2 linked regions of the Medicago truncatula genome follow. The protein of the gene in region 1 binds, or shares a complex with, the protein of each later gene. Links are inferred from orthologs where the notes say so. Each region holds a gene or a part of one and is shown on either strand. Other genes may lie near its edges.

Evidence for each region.
Region 2: 50S ribosomal protein L4, chloroplastic (region 1) and 50S ribosomal protein L3, chloroplastic share a complex: the UniProt entries of both Arabidopsis thaliana proteins name them as parts of the 50S ribosomal subunit. The link is inferred for Medicago truncatula from reciprocal best matches to the Arabidopsis thaliana genes RPL4 and AT2G43030.

The regions. Positions count from the first base shown.
Region 1 is NC_053049.1:1,015,916-1,023,688, forward strand, and holds 50S ribosomal protein L4, chloroplastic, read left to right. Parts: upstream 1-4,705; 5' UTR 4,706-4,783; coding exon 4,784-5,618; intron 5,619-6,984; coding exon 6,985-7,022; 3' UTR 7,023-7,331; downstream 7,332-7,773. UniProt on the Arabidopsis thaliana protein: This protein binds directly and specifically to 23S rRNA. May play a role in plastid transcriptional regulation.
Region 2 is NC_053044.1:58,753,137-58,759,739, reverse strand, and holds 50S ribosomal protein L3, chloroplastic, read right to left. Parts: upstream 1,772-6,603; 5' UTR 1,690-1,771; coding exon 1,161-1,689; intron 1,060-1,160; coding exon 770-1,059; 3' UTR 616-769; downstream 1-615. Other genes in the region: UTP--glucose-1-phosphate uridylyltransferase, read right to left, coding at 4,603-4,635. UniProt on the Arabidopsis thaliana protein: One of the primary rRNA binding proteins, it binds directly near the 3'-end of the 23S rRNA, where it nucleates assembly of the 50S subunit.

The sequences.
Region 1 (7,773 bases):
TGTTTTGGATTGACATTTTTATTTTTAATTATACTCTTGAACAAATTTATCTATTTCTTTCAATTAGGCCCTTCAACATATTTGTCTATAAAAATTGTCATATTGTTGGGCTCATTTAAAAATGAGAATGACGGTGGGTAATCTCGCAAAGATTTCAGGATCCAGTATTTGCTAAATATCCTTATTAGATTACACCTCATGCCTTCCCTTGTTTTATGCATTGGGAGAAATTTAATTGGCTAAAACTGTTTTTGGGATAAGTTCGGGATAAAGTTTTTCGGGATGAATATCAACTCTCTTAAAAAATATAAGACTTTATATTATGTTTGTTATAGTTTTTGTTTTTTTACATTAAAGACAATGTCATTAACAATATATCAAATGGCAAGAGTGTAGAAATACAAACGGAAGTCTTTTCAATTCATACGCGATCCGGATTATGAAGAACATATTTAGCTAAATAATGAACAGTTTGGTCGGATTCACGCTTAATATGCAAATAGTTTAAACTATGAAAATATACATTAAAACTAATACAATCCTTAATAATAGAGTGAACATGTGTGTGCGATTGTTCATTCAACATCAAAACCAAATTATAAACATATGATTATGCTATAAGATTCAGAAAAGACATGTCTTTCGCAGGTACCAAACTGATATGTGCTCCGGTGTAGTGGATGTTGAATCTTCACGGCAGAGGAGAAAGGTGTTTGTCGTCACGTTAACACTCCAACGTTCAAGTTAGTATTTGAGAGAGGTGGCGTTATGTGTAAAAAAGTGGTAAAAGTAAAGTGTACCTTAAGGGTGATGCTGAGTTTGATTGTAAGATGTTCATGTTTTTTATGTGTCGAAATTTTCCGGTTGGAGGGTTGTTTGTGGTTGATTCCTTCTCCAGGCCTTAATGATGTTCCTTCATGGCCCCTTAGAGCATCCACAATCGAGACAACAATTTTTTGGTTCTTAAATGGATCCCGCGTGTACACATCACTCATTTATAATTTTTTAATAGTAGTATCTAATAAGCATTCAATCCCTCCAACCCAGATCTCACACAAATTTCTTAAATGAGACATATTAATCAACTACCAATAACTTTATATCATTAATTACATTTCAATTTTTTAATATTAAAAGAGTGTGAGTCCCGCTTAAGATTGGAGGTCTTAAGTAAGACCTCGGGTCTTATAAAACAAAGAAAAAGTTTTTCCCCAATAAAAATACATAATAGATACCGGATCTTAAATGTTTAAAACCCTCCTATTAAAAATGGTCTTAGTCTAACTTTTTTTAGGATTGGGTTTTTGATGCTGGTCCAGGTATAATATTATTCCTTTTTTTCTTCTTCCAAGTATATCATGGCCCCTCGGTCAAACTTCTTTATGATGAGTTAAAACAAAGTATATGTCAAGTTTGATATCACTTAATTTTATCATTTGCTTTTATTTTTCCTCTATATCATTCTGTATCAGTTAAATAACGTATTTATTTATTTTTAAAAATAAACAGGTAAGATTTTAAACGTCAATTATTTTGGTCCATACAAGCGGAAAGACGAGCATGTTGGTGTCAATCATTACACTAGTGGCAAGGATATTTGAAAATGGAAAAATTAATATTACAAATTTTACATTCCTTCATTAAAAAATAATAATAATATGCATGAATTACATTTTATTTAAAATGTTGACAAATAGATAAAATAATATTTAAAACAACTATTAATTATTAAAATATTACTTATTTTGTAAGTAGGACCAAATAGTACATATTTAATTACTTCTTTTAAACTCGTTAGTTGCTTAGGAGATAAAATCCTTACTTCAATGAGAAGCCTTAACAGGGAGTGATCCTTGTTAAGTAAAGACCTCCCATTAGAGATGCTCTAAGAGCATCAATATCGATCGTAGTATATGTATATATGAACAGAGCGTGTCCGGAAAAACACCACTAATTGAGTTTTTTGGGTGGTAAATAGTTGATCCCGTAGCACTGCATTGATACGGTAGCTTTGTCTGATCTTAATGTTCTTTTATAATAAAAAGTGCTTATGATGTTACTTTTTTGAATTAAAATGATTTAAGAAATATAATATAAAATATATTGTAAGATGAGTGAGACCTATTTTAAAATTTTGGAAGAGTGGTATGGATATTTAGAAGATATAGTTTAGTGGTTTAAATAATTGGGAAGTGTGAAATAATATATTGTATTACGTGAGACCCATTTATACCACTCATATGGGTGGTATGGATGTGGATGCTCTAAGTGACTCAGTTGACTTTGTCACACACACCAATGTACAATTTTGATCTTAAATAACTTTACTAATCTATTAGAAAAAATTATAAAATTTGATATTTTGAAAATATTCATCTAGACGAATCTAACAATATCTTATATGATATTATTTATTTTTATATATCAGTAGAAAAATACAGTCAAAGTATGTTAGATCAATAATATAAATTTTTAAATAAATCATCTATTATAGGATGGAGGGAGTATTTATCAGAAAACCTTTTGTGTGACCATACACATTATGCTAAAACTTTCTCGTAGTGAAACATACAAAGAAAATTGAAGTATAAAACTAACGCATTTCGGTAATCAGAAGCAGAGAACAAAACACATCTGTGTTTATTGTCATTCCAAACTAGGCTGATCAAAGTTAGTCCCTCTGAATTTGTAATTTGGAAAACTTTGTAACAATTTCAAAACTAAAATATCAAACTTTCCCTACAACCAAATTACTTTAAAACAGCAACACTAACATTTGTGATGCCAAGAAAACAATGATATAATAAATCAGTCTAATACTCCCAATCATCATTAGCATATATATGTATCTTCAAAATTGTCCACATACTCCATCCGATCACATTTATAAGTAAAATGCAGCTTTTTAGATACATTGAATAATTAATGTATCTGACATATAGCCTCGTGGTATTGACTTGGAACCTGAAAGTGTGCTCCTTCTTGATGTCTCAAGTTCAATTCTCTCCGATACCAATTTGGATGAGCTAATTTAACTTCTTCAAAATAAAAAATAAAAATGTATTTGATATACAAATGTGACTATATATATATATATATTAATTATTTAATTTATCTAAAAAAGTGTTTTTTCGTATAAATATGACCACCATCATCATAATATAAAAAGTGCTTTGGAGGTCGTAAATCTTTAATTTGCTCGTGACACCTTTGTTCTAAATTTTGACTCAAAGAAGCACACACGTGCAAATCAAGAAATTCAAGAAGAGGGCAACCATCAAGAATGGCAAGGAACCCAACACTGACGAGAAAAATTCCTAACAATTTAAAACGGTGTAGCCCAGACATTGTTTTAGCATTAACAAATATCACATCATAATATTTATTTATATTGAAAAATGATATTTGAATGGTCATTTTGTGATAATAGGTGTGACAATTTTTTCTCTTATACCTACATTGTATTTTTTATTTTTCTCTTTATTGTTTTGGTTCTTCTACCAATATCTACATTTCTTTATATATTTTGATTGTTTCAAATGATTGTTCAAATAATATTTCTCATTTATACTTTGACGCAAGGGTAAATCAACCTACAAAGAATTAATGATTTCAAACAAATGCAACATTGGCCAATGACTTCAACAGAATCCTTGGATACATTGTTCCTAGATGTAATGTTAAGCTCCTTCACAAATTCACTCAATCCTTTATCTGAAATTCTTATGTAGAAATTGTCTTAATTGACTTGTCCTGTAAAATATTAAGAGTAAGATGCTGATAATATATGATTCATTTGAGTTATGGGACGAATAATATTAAATTAAACTATAATTTAGAGTGTGTAGTGTATAACCATCATTAAACTATAATTTAGAGTGTTGATATGATACAAACAAGGATATGAGCTGCAATGAAATGAAATGAGATTAGAAATTGAGTCCAATAAATTAGGGAGGTCTAAAATGATCATACTACACTTAGGAAGTGGAATAAATTTGTTGCCATTTAGTGGTGACTCATTAGTTTTAGAAGATTGATGACTCACTAGTTTATTGGAAAAAATCTAAAACAATATTACTTATAATATAGAGTAGTGATATTTGTACACCTTTTCTAAATAACTTTCATGACAACTTTGTTTTTTTCTATTTTGATTGATCAAAATCAATAGAGAGAGAAAAAGGCAGAGAGATAACAAGAATGTAATGTGAGTATGAGAGAGAAAGTTGTTCAAAAGTTATTAGAAATTGGTTGTACAAATATCATTTCTCTATAATATATTATCTCTATTTTATAATCATCGATGAAATTATAATATTTTCTCCATCTATTATTCTTAAAAGGTTCTCATTCTATGTTCTATATCAGAGGAATTATCTTTTACATATCATTTGGTGCTCTTAACAATGATACAATCAATATTGTCATTTTATATAATAAAAAATTAAGTCATAAGTGTTTTTTGAAGTAAAATTAAGTTAATAGACGAATTTTATATATTTACCAAAAATATAATAGAAAGAAATTGCAAACTTTGTTTACTTTTTTAATATAATTTTCAAGGATAGTAGATTTGATATAGTATAGTTAAAAAACAATTCATGAGTTTTATTTAATTATAAATTATAAAGTTGATCCATCAAATAAAAAATAGTAGTAAGCAAAAACAAAACAAAAATCCTTACCCACACCACACCACACCAATCAATTTTGAAGAGATAGGATAGAAAAGAAGCAAAACTCTCAAATTTTTCTCTCTGAACCAAAAAAAAATAAAAAAATGGCTTCACTCTCTTCAACACTAACACCAACTTCAACTTCTCTTTCTTTCTTCTCTTCTTCAATCTTCATTTCTAATTCAATTCCCAAATTGAAATTCACTCCAAATTCAAACTCAATTTCACATACTAATTCACTTTCCATTTCTTGCAAACTCGCCACCCTTCCACTCCTCTCCTTCTCCGGCGAGAAAATCGGTGAATCAACTCTCGACGTCAAATCCGCCTCTCCTTCCACCTCTCGCGCCGTCGTCCACCGCGCCATCATCCACGACCTTCAAAACAAACGCCGCGGCACAGCCTCCACCTTAACACGCGCCGAAGTCAGAGGTGGTGGCCGAAAACCCTACAACCAAAAGAAAACCGGCCGAGCACGTCAGGGTTCGATTCGTACACCTCTCCGACCCGGCGGTGGTGTGATTTTCGGCCCGAAACCAAGGGATTGGACTATTAAGATTAACAAGAAGGAGAAGAGGCTTGCGATTTCCACTGCGGTAGCGAGTGCGGCGGTGAATACAGTTGTGGTGGAGGAATTTGGAGATGAGTTTGAGGGGAATGCGAAGACGAAGGAGTTTATTGCGGCGATGAAAAGGTGGGGATTGGATCCGACGGAGAAAGTTACGTTTTTTATGATGGAGGTGAAGGAGAAAGTGTTGTTGGCTAGTAGGAATATTGGGACTTTGAAGATTTTGACGCCGAGGACTTTGAATTTGTATGATGTTTTGAATGCTGATAAGATTGTTCTTACTCCTGATGCTGTGGATTATTTGAATGGTAGGTATGGTGATAGTGAACAAGATGATGATGGTGATTATGTCGAAGAGGATAGCCAAGAAGGTAAATCATTAGTATTATAATAGTATTAATGATGATTAGTGATAACATTGTTAATCGTTATATCTTGAATTATTCATCCTTGTTTTTCGAATAGTATAGTACATTAGTACTAGTTCAATATTGATGTTGCCTTCCGTAAGAAGCGTCGGTGCTAGCGTGCTATAGTCATAGACCTAGATTTTAAATTGAAGTTGCGGTTATGGTCGTGTGCAATTGTTGATATGTTGACAACTGTGGTCAATTTTAGATGGTACTATTGTGGCCGTGGGGACATACAATTACAAATTCGGATGTTGTGATCACAAATGTGGGTGGGATAAGGGTTTTAAATAGTGTTTACAGTAGAGATCCTTGATATTGCGGCCTGTGTGGCTTCAATTGCAGTTGCATTGCGTTTTTGACAACATCAAAGACCGTTATGGTTATGTAGCCCCCCAAATCTCAGTCGCAGACCTTTATTTAAAACTATAGTTGCAGATCTTTTAAAATCTTGGGCATTGCGTTTTAGATAGGAGTTAGTTTGGATAAACTTTTATTGAACATGGAGAATGAAATATTAAAAGAATTTGACAATGATTGTGTTTTTTTAAAAAATAGTTTCTCGAATAAGTTGAAATATGTTTCCATTTCTCATGATCATCCAATTGATCATGCAATTTTGTAAAAAACTTATTCCTTAAGCATTATAGTAGCTTGTAAATTTTTTTGTGAAATGAGAGAAAATTAACTTATTTGAATTGAAATGTTTCCTTTAGGTAGAAATCATTTCAAATTTGGTTTAAGTTGCTGATATTTGAAAATGTTTCATTGAGGTAGAAATCAATTCAAATTTGGTTTAAGTTGCTAAATGGATTCTCAAGTTAACATTCTGAAATATGAAGGATGTTACTACTGATGTAATTGTTTATTTTTTACATATATGTTAAGGCTCTGAACTTGTTTTAATTTGAAGATTATAAGTAGTTCACTTATTTGGAGTCATTAACCATGGTCATAAGATTAAAGTTCAACACTGTTGTTTGTTCAACTTGTTGTATCTGCATTGTGTAGTCTTATTTGTCATTGGCTTTAGCTTTAACTTTGGAGCTGGTATCTTTAAAAAATTATATTCTTGAGACTATTGAAAAGAAATGAAGTTAGTGCACTGACAGAGTAGAGTCACCTAAATCTCACTGACTCATTTTGATAGTTGTTTAGTATTGTGCATGTGTGTGTGTATGGACATTCATGTTGGTGGTTGGGTTAAACTTAAACTGCACATTCCCTCTGTAACTTTTGAGTTGCTTATTATTGTGGAAGAGTTTAAGATGGGTCTGAGTAATATAATAGGTTTCTGACTTGATTGCTTTCTTCTATTTGGATACAGGACCAGACGCAGAAGAAAGTGCCGATGCGGTGAATTGATGATTTAAAGTTGTTTGCACGGTTGTATCGTATCATTTTATAGAGGATATTGCTCATACAGGGTATAGAAGGTTTGAAGTCTTGTTTGTACCAATGTATTTGCTTTTTTTCCATTCCATCACTTAGAATCCAAATTCAAGTAGCATGTAAGGATATTTCTTTATCTCATTTACAATCACATTTTGTTGTAACCTAGTAATTTTTTGAATCAATTTTGTTGCTTTGTAGTCTCTTTTGTGCAGATGCATGTAAATGGATAAGTCAATTGTTTTGAATCAATGTTGTTGCATGTAGTTTCTTTCTTCTGAAGAAGTTGTATCTGGTTACTTCTTTTCTTGTACTGCTTCTACTTAATGGATAGACAAAAATCTAGAACATGTGATGCTTACATATTCTTAAATGTGCTATTCCTAAACCCTAAAAAGAAGTTTGTTGAACTCTCATGCCTGTTTTGAATGACTTTCCTGCCATATACCTCATAAAGTCTTCCCATTCAACCATGTTTTACACTTTGAAAAGGAAACCATTTGTAAGTTAGAAGAAGAAAAACAAAGAGCAAATGAAGTCAAGAAACATATTTCCCAGTCAAACATCAACTCCTAATTTAGTTAAAACAAAATTAATAGCTTATTTTCCTCTCACCGTTGGTGTCATATTGCTTCATTGGTGATTCTTCCTTCCATATTATTATTATTATTATTATTTATGATGATGGTATTGATAGCAAGCATAGAGAAAAATATATTTAAAT
Region 2 (6,603 bases), on another chromosome or scaffold:
TTCAAAACAACATAGCAACATGGAAAAGACAAGGACAACTTCACTTTCTATTCCCATCAAAGTTATCTTCTACCAAACTCCATGTTTCTTCCTTCTACCACAAGCTCCATTGAAAAGGGAGCTCAAAGACACATCACACTACCTTGGTTCAAGAGTGATGGTGATGTTGGTAGTGAAAGTGGAAATGGAAAAAGAAAGGAGGCATTAGAGGGTGAAGGTTGTTTATTTTTTCATGACAAGTACAAGCTTTATTAACATCTAAATTTTGTATGCTGTTGGAAGTATGGCTATAAAGCAATATTTATAGGAAAAAGCATATCAGAGGCCATGTCTCTTAAGACAGTTTGGTTTAACTCAGGAACTCAGTGGTTGTTGAAGACAAACAAGAGAGTTTCAATACATTATATATCAGTTGAACAGAAACTTAAGAATATTCCTTGTTAAGCCCATGACAACAATGGGAGATGCATTAAAAATAAATTCAACTAGGGTTAAGGAAAAAGTTAATAGCATTAAAAACTTCCAGTTCTAGTTTAGAGTTTAGAACGACCAATTCCTTTGTGTCCATGAACTTCATGCTGCACCATCAAATTGATCAAATAGCAAACCAACCAATAAGTGAAAAAAAATGATCTGCCTAAGACATGATTTATTGTAAAACATTATAACATTGCATCCAATCTCAGTTACTGAGAAATGTTTGTTTTGATTGTTATTTTCGTACTTAACAGGTGAATACAGACAAGTAGTTAAGAAGGAAAAAGAGTAATTAATTCTTTGGAATGTTCTTGCCAACAATCTTGGCGGGGGCTATACGTAGAAGATTACCAGGCTTACCAGGAAGAGCACCTTTGATCATGATAACATTAAGATCTTTATCAATTTTAACAATCTTAAGCTTTCTGGTCTTCCTGTTAGTTCCACCCATCCTACCAGGCATCTTCTTTCCCTTGTATACGCGACCAGGTGTAGTTCCGGCACCAATGGATCCAAGTTGTCTGTGACTCTTGGAACCATGGCTCATTGGTCCTCTTTTGAAGTTATGACGCTTGATACCACCTGTCATTGTCAAAGTAAGTTCATACATTAGTGATAGATATTATTATCAACTTAACTTGGACACTAGAAGGGAATGCAAAGAGAGGGAGAGAGTTACAGACCTTGAAAACCCTTGCCGATGGTGGTGCCGGAGACATCAACAAGATCTCCTTCATTGAAAAGCTCATCAAAGACAAGGCGCTGATTAGGTTCAAAACCATCAACGGATTGAAGACGAAACTCCTGAAGATGGCGCATAGGAATGGCTCCGGCCTTTTCAAGATGACCCATTTCAGGTTTGGTCAATTTGCGGTCTCTAACCCTCCGGTAACCAACTTGTACGGCGTTGTAACCGTCAGTGGCGTCGGTTTTGATCTGAGTGACGATGTTGCCTTCTTTGAAACCGACAACAGTGACGGGAACTACTTCACCGTTAGGTTGGAAAAAGCTCATCATTCCCAATTTGGTACCCATGACACCAACACCAGCCTCTAAGCTCATTTTCACCACCATCGCTCCTCCTCTTTTTCTTTGGTGCTGCTGCAATTTCACAAATTGAGCAGAAAAAGAAGTTGAGAAGGAAAGTGAAGAAGAAGAAGAAGAATTAGAACAAGGTATTGAAATGGAGAATGGAGAAGAAATGATAGACATATTGAATCAATTGACGACGCTCGACTGTGTTTATGTTATCTATCTCAAGAGAGAGACAGAGAAGAGAAGAGAATGAAACACAACAGCAACAACAGCAAAGCTTATCTTATTCCATCCAATTTCATTTCAATACCCGACCCGCCCCGCACCAATTTCATTTTTTTTTTTTAAATAAACCCTCCATTAAAAAAAATTAAAATTAACTTTTTACACTTTTTTTTATTGGCTTCATGTTGTTAAAGAAAAGTTAGCCAACAAAAAGCTTTTCTAAATTGTGACATAGTATCAACCAAATGTTACACATTTAGTTAAAAATAATAATAATCAAAAGTCATACATATACATCTTTTTTAAAGGATTATACATATACACTTTAATTACCACAACATTATATCATTTTAATTATTCTTTTACTAAAATTCTAACATTCTGAAAAACTAAAATCCATGATCCCTACCACTTGTGTTTCCGCAAAATCAACTATGTATTTCTCGAACAACAATTCACGTATTGTTCTCAATTAATTTAAAGCTAACAATTGATTGTCCCGTGAACTTAGTTTGATTGGTAAAGATAATGCATAATATATGATTAAATGTTTAAACATGATAGTTCAGATAGAAACTTGTTTACAATTTATTTTATATTTCATAGCCATGTTTAAACATTTTTTAAAATATATTTTCCATATTTAATCTAATATTTGTTTTCGTCTTCTTTTATTTTATTCGTTTTAGTCTTATATCTTTCAAGACTTTTTTTGACAAGTCAAGACAAATAGTTATATTTGATAAATATACGAGAAAAGAATAAAATATCTATATGACCAAAATAAATGAATAATTGGTAAAAGATAAATGATAAAAATATATTTTAGCACTTTTTATTTCATTACTAAATGTATTTGTTTCAATCAACCTCACTTTCTTTCTAGTATTATAATATGGAGAAAACTTAGATACAATTCCTTAGGTATTTTTCATATGGTTCTTAACTAAAAATACATATTTTTTTGGATATAACAAACTTTGAGAAAATTATGGATTTGAGAAAATCATGGTGAATATAGTTAAGAATCATACGAAAAACACATAAGAAATTGTACCTAAATTTTCTCCTTACAATATATTACAAATAATTTAAGCCAAAAAAAATCACTCTCTCCAATTTAGTTTTTAATGTATATACAAAATAAAAATTAACCTCTAAAGTATATTAAATCCATCAATTTAATCTCTAAAATATATGAAATCATGTCAATTTAGTCTTAAGATCTTCCTAGCAAGAATAAAATCGACGGATATGACATACTTTTAAAACTATTTATTATACTTAAAAATGAAAATGAAGAGAGACTAATATATTATAGACTAAATTGATAGTTTTATTAACTATATTGCATAAATTTAAGTCTAAGAGTTATTGCACTCTTATAATTGTATTTTAAATTTAATTTTGAAAAATAAGTTTATTCACTATATTTCCACAAAAATATCATTAAAATAACTCAATAAATTTTGTTTAATTTTGACGGATGGAGTCTCTTCTCTCTCTTCACCATCATTTATAAAAAAGTAACATAAATTTTAAATCTGATTTACCAATGGACAAATGTATTGATTCACACATTGAGTTAAACCATCGACATCTCCACTAAATTCCCGTGTTCTGTCTTTTTTAACCTTAATGTTTTCTAGGATATGTATTAATGGAGTATCTTATAACATAGTTTGTGTGGGAGTATCTTATAACATTGAGTGAAATTACTCTCATTCCAGTGGCTAAAAGCCAAACTACATGTGTTTGCTTTCAATTATCATGACTGGTGGCAACACCCTATGTCTTGTATGGGTATATTCATGTAATCTTCTTTGTTTTTGGATCTGAAACCATGCTGGTTGCGTTTGCGCCACCGGTGAACTGACATTGTATTGATTTAAGTGATTCTCTTTTGCACACCTTGTGCGAGATGAATTACTTCTGGTAATTTAATTACATTTTGGCTTGTTCAAAAAAAAATAAAAATGGAGTATCTTATAAATATCCGTGAAGTATCACCATGCATATATGTTTCCATTTTTGTTTAGTATCTGCCTTCATATATCAAAACACACTCCACAGAATGTAATTTCACACATAACCACACATTGGAACACGAGAATACAAAACCAGACATGCAAACAAACATACCTGGGTAAGCTAGTTTTATCATAACACAGGATTGGCTTTGTTGAGCCAGTCTCAAGTTCAACCTTCCCACACAACTACAATTAGCCTTAGGCTAGAGCATTAAGTAGGTGGGTGTGAACTGAAGTGTGTATCTATGCATGATAAACTAGCAAAACACCGTGTTTCATCAGTTAATCTCTAGGAGTTTCAAAAGAAACCATTACGAAATCAGCAACAGTTATTAAACATTCCTACACAGATTATGATGTTTGATAGACATGAATGAGGGTGCAACATCAGACGAAAGAAAAAGTACAAACAGTAAGATTTTGTTGTACCGTCTGTATATAACAATAAGTCAATGCCGAATATAATACTTCCAATTAAATAGGATGAAAAAATGTCTGTTCTGTGGTCCAACTCGTTGTACAGTAAACAATTGATGAGACTATGTAGTATCAAGGAAAACAATCACTTTTACTTTTTTATTCATTACCTCAGCATCAAGCCTTTTTTTTATCTAAAAGCTAGAAAGGTACAAGGCCAAATAAGTGAGTAGAGACAATTATTTCATCACTGTTATGGCGCTTCCAAAACTTGTTATTTGTTTCTTCAACCTTTCGGTTCCCAGTAAATAGAAAAGCTAACTGATGGCGAGCTTTGTAACTGTATTGCACGACAAATCAAAGCATCTGGAGTCACCTATTCATTAGAAACAAATACCCCTCAACATTGGTGAACCATTCATTCTTGGATATCTGCAATGTCGTTGATCTCCTGTAAATTGGCACAAAGAAATTGTAAGAAAATTACCAAAAGAAAAAAACTGAGAAAAAGTTCATGTCACTAGCTGAAATTGTCATAAATGCTGGAAAATTAAAAGGCTTTCAATGATGCTATTAATTAAAGCTTGTTGGGGAATGCTTCATAATCCCCATGCTCTTCAGGTCAGCATGCTGAAAGGCATTCATTTAATGAATGTTCGTAGGCATACTGTTAGGAATGTGTACGTTAGGTGCAGGCTCGATAGAAATGGCCAATCCTAATTTAGTTGTATGTTTTAAATAGAGTAAGGGAGAGCAGGTGGCATTCGGTTATTTTGAACTGGTTGGTTGGAAAAGACTAGGCTCCTTGTTTCCTAGCAGTTTGTGGAAGTTCACAGCAATTCCCTTTCCTCCTTCAATTTCATTTGTATTTTCTGTTTTCAATGCATAACCAACTCAAAAGGAAGGATTATTCCCAGAGTTTTATTAATAAATAAGTCCTGTTCAGTATTAGTACGAATCTTACAAGGTTCTATCAACTGGTATCAGAAGTACACGATCCTGGCAGCAGCTTGATGTCTTCTTTTGAGTGTGGATGCTTTGGGGAAGACGACGGTGGATGAACATGAACGATTAATCTGAGTGTATTTTTCCTTTTCTTCTCTGTGTTGGTTAATACACGTGCGGTGGTATAATTAAGCATGTTAAGTGCAATTTAAAGTGCAGCTTTTAACGTGAACCGTTCATTTTAATCTGAGGGTAATTATTTGTTCCTGTCGCCTCTCACTAAATACTCCTCTCATTTGATATATATATATATATATATATATATATATATGAGGGCATATCAAGTGAGAGGAGTAATTATAATGAGAGATGAGAGGATCAATTGACAGTCGTTGGATTAATATCAATGGAAGGTATTAAGTTAGTCATTAAACATGCACTCACACACAATCTCTTTTATCTCCCTCGGTTGAAATGCTGTGTGCTGCGCAGTTTCATTGAAGTTTTGAAGATACATCACATTCTCTATTTTTTTAGGAACTGGCTAATTATTTGAATGTTGGCAAATCAATTTGATTTTTAGTAAATAATTTTTCTGTTTTAACTGAGAAATTACAACCACAGAAAACAAAGCTACCAGATCTAACACATGGCGACGACGGAAAGACATTGGCGACAACCAGATCGAACGACATAGAGACAACCAGATTTCACTTTGCAACTTTACTACCATCGAATGATGAAGAACACGAACGAGATGAAGGAAGATTAAAGATTTTGAATTCAAAATATCGAATTGCTTCAACATCGGTGAAGCAAAAATCCCTAATTTGTTCAAAAATATTATTTTTAAATTATAGATATCAAAATTCAATTTCATTCTGCAAATAGAAAATGGAGCAAGAGTAATCTTTTACCCTTGAGCTGCAATCATTACACAAGCGGTGGTTTTGGTATCTGGATGATGCAGATAGATGAGAGGACGGAAAAAGAAGATGTGAGTGTACGATACGGGGTGGACATGTTATCTTTTTAACAAGTGAATTAATCATAGCCATTTAATTTAATCTAAGGGCTCCTATTAAATCCTCTTATCTCTCATTATAATTACTCCTCTCACTTGATATGCCCTATATATATATATATATATATATATATATATATATATATATAGAGAGAGAGAGAGAGAGAGAGAGAGAGAGAGATGAGGGTAACAAAGGAATGGAATGTGTTGGGTTTTCAGTTGCAACAACAGGATGGTAAGGGAAGGATCACTGATAGGCACCTTAAATAGCCTACCGCTCAATTGTCATTCCTTATTTTCCTTGTCCTGTTCACAGAGATCTATGTAGTACACACCCTCTGTTTAGTTTCAGTAACAGCGATACTTAGTTTTATTATCAGGTTCTATCAGTATAGTACAACTTTTGACGTGATCATTGGGAAAAAATTCCTAATTTGGATGGAATATGTT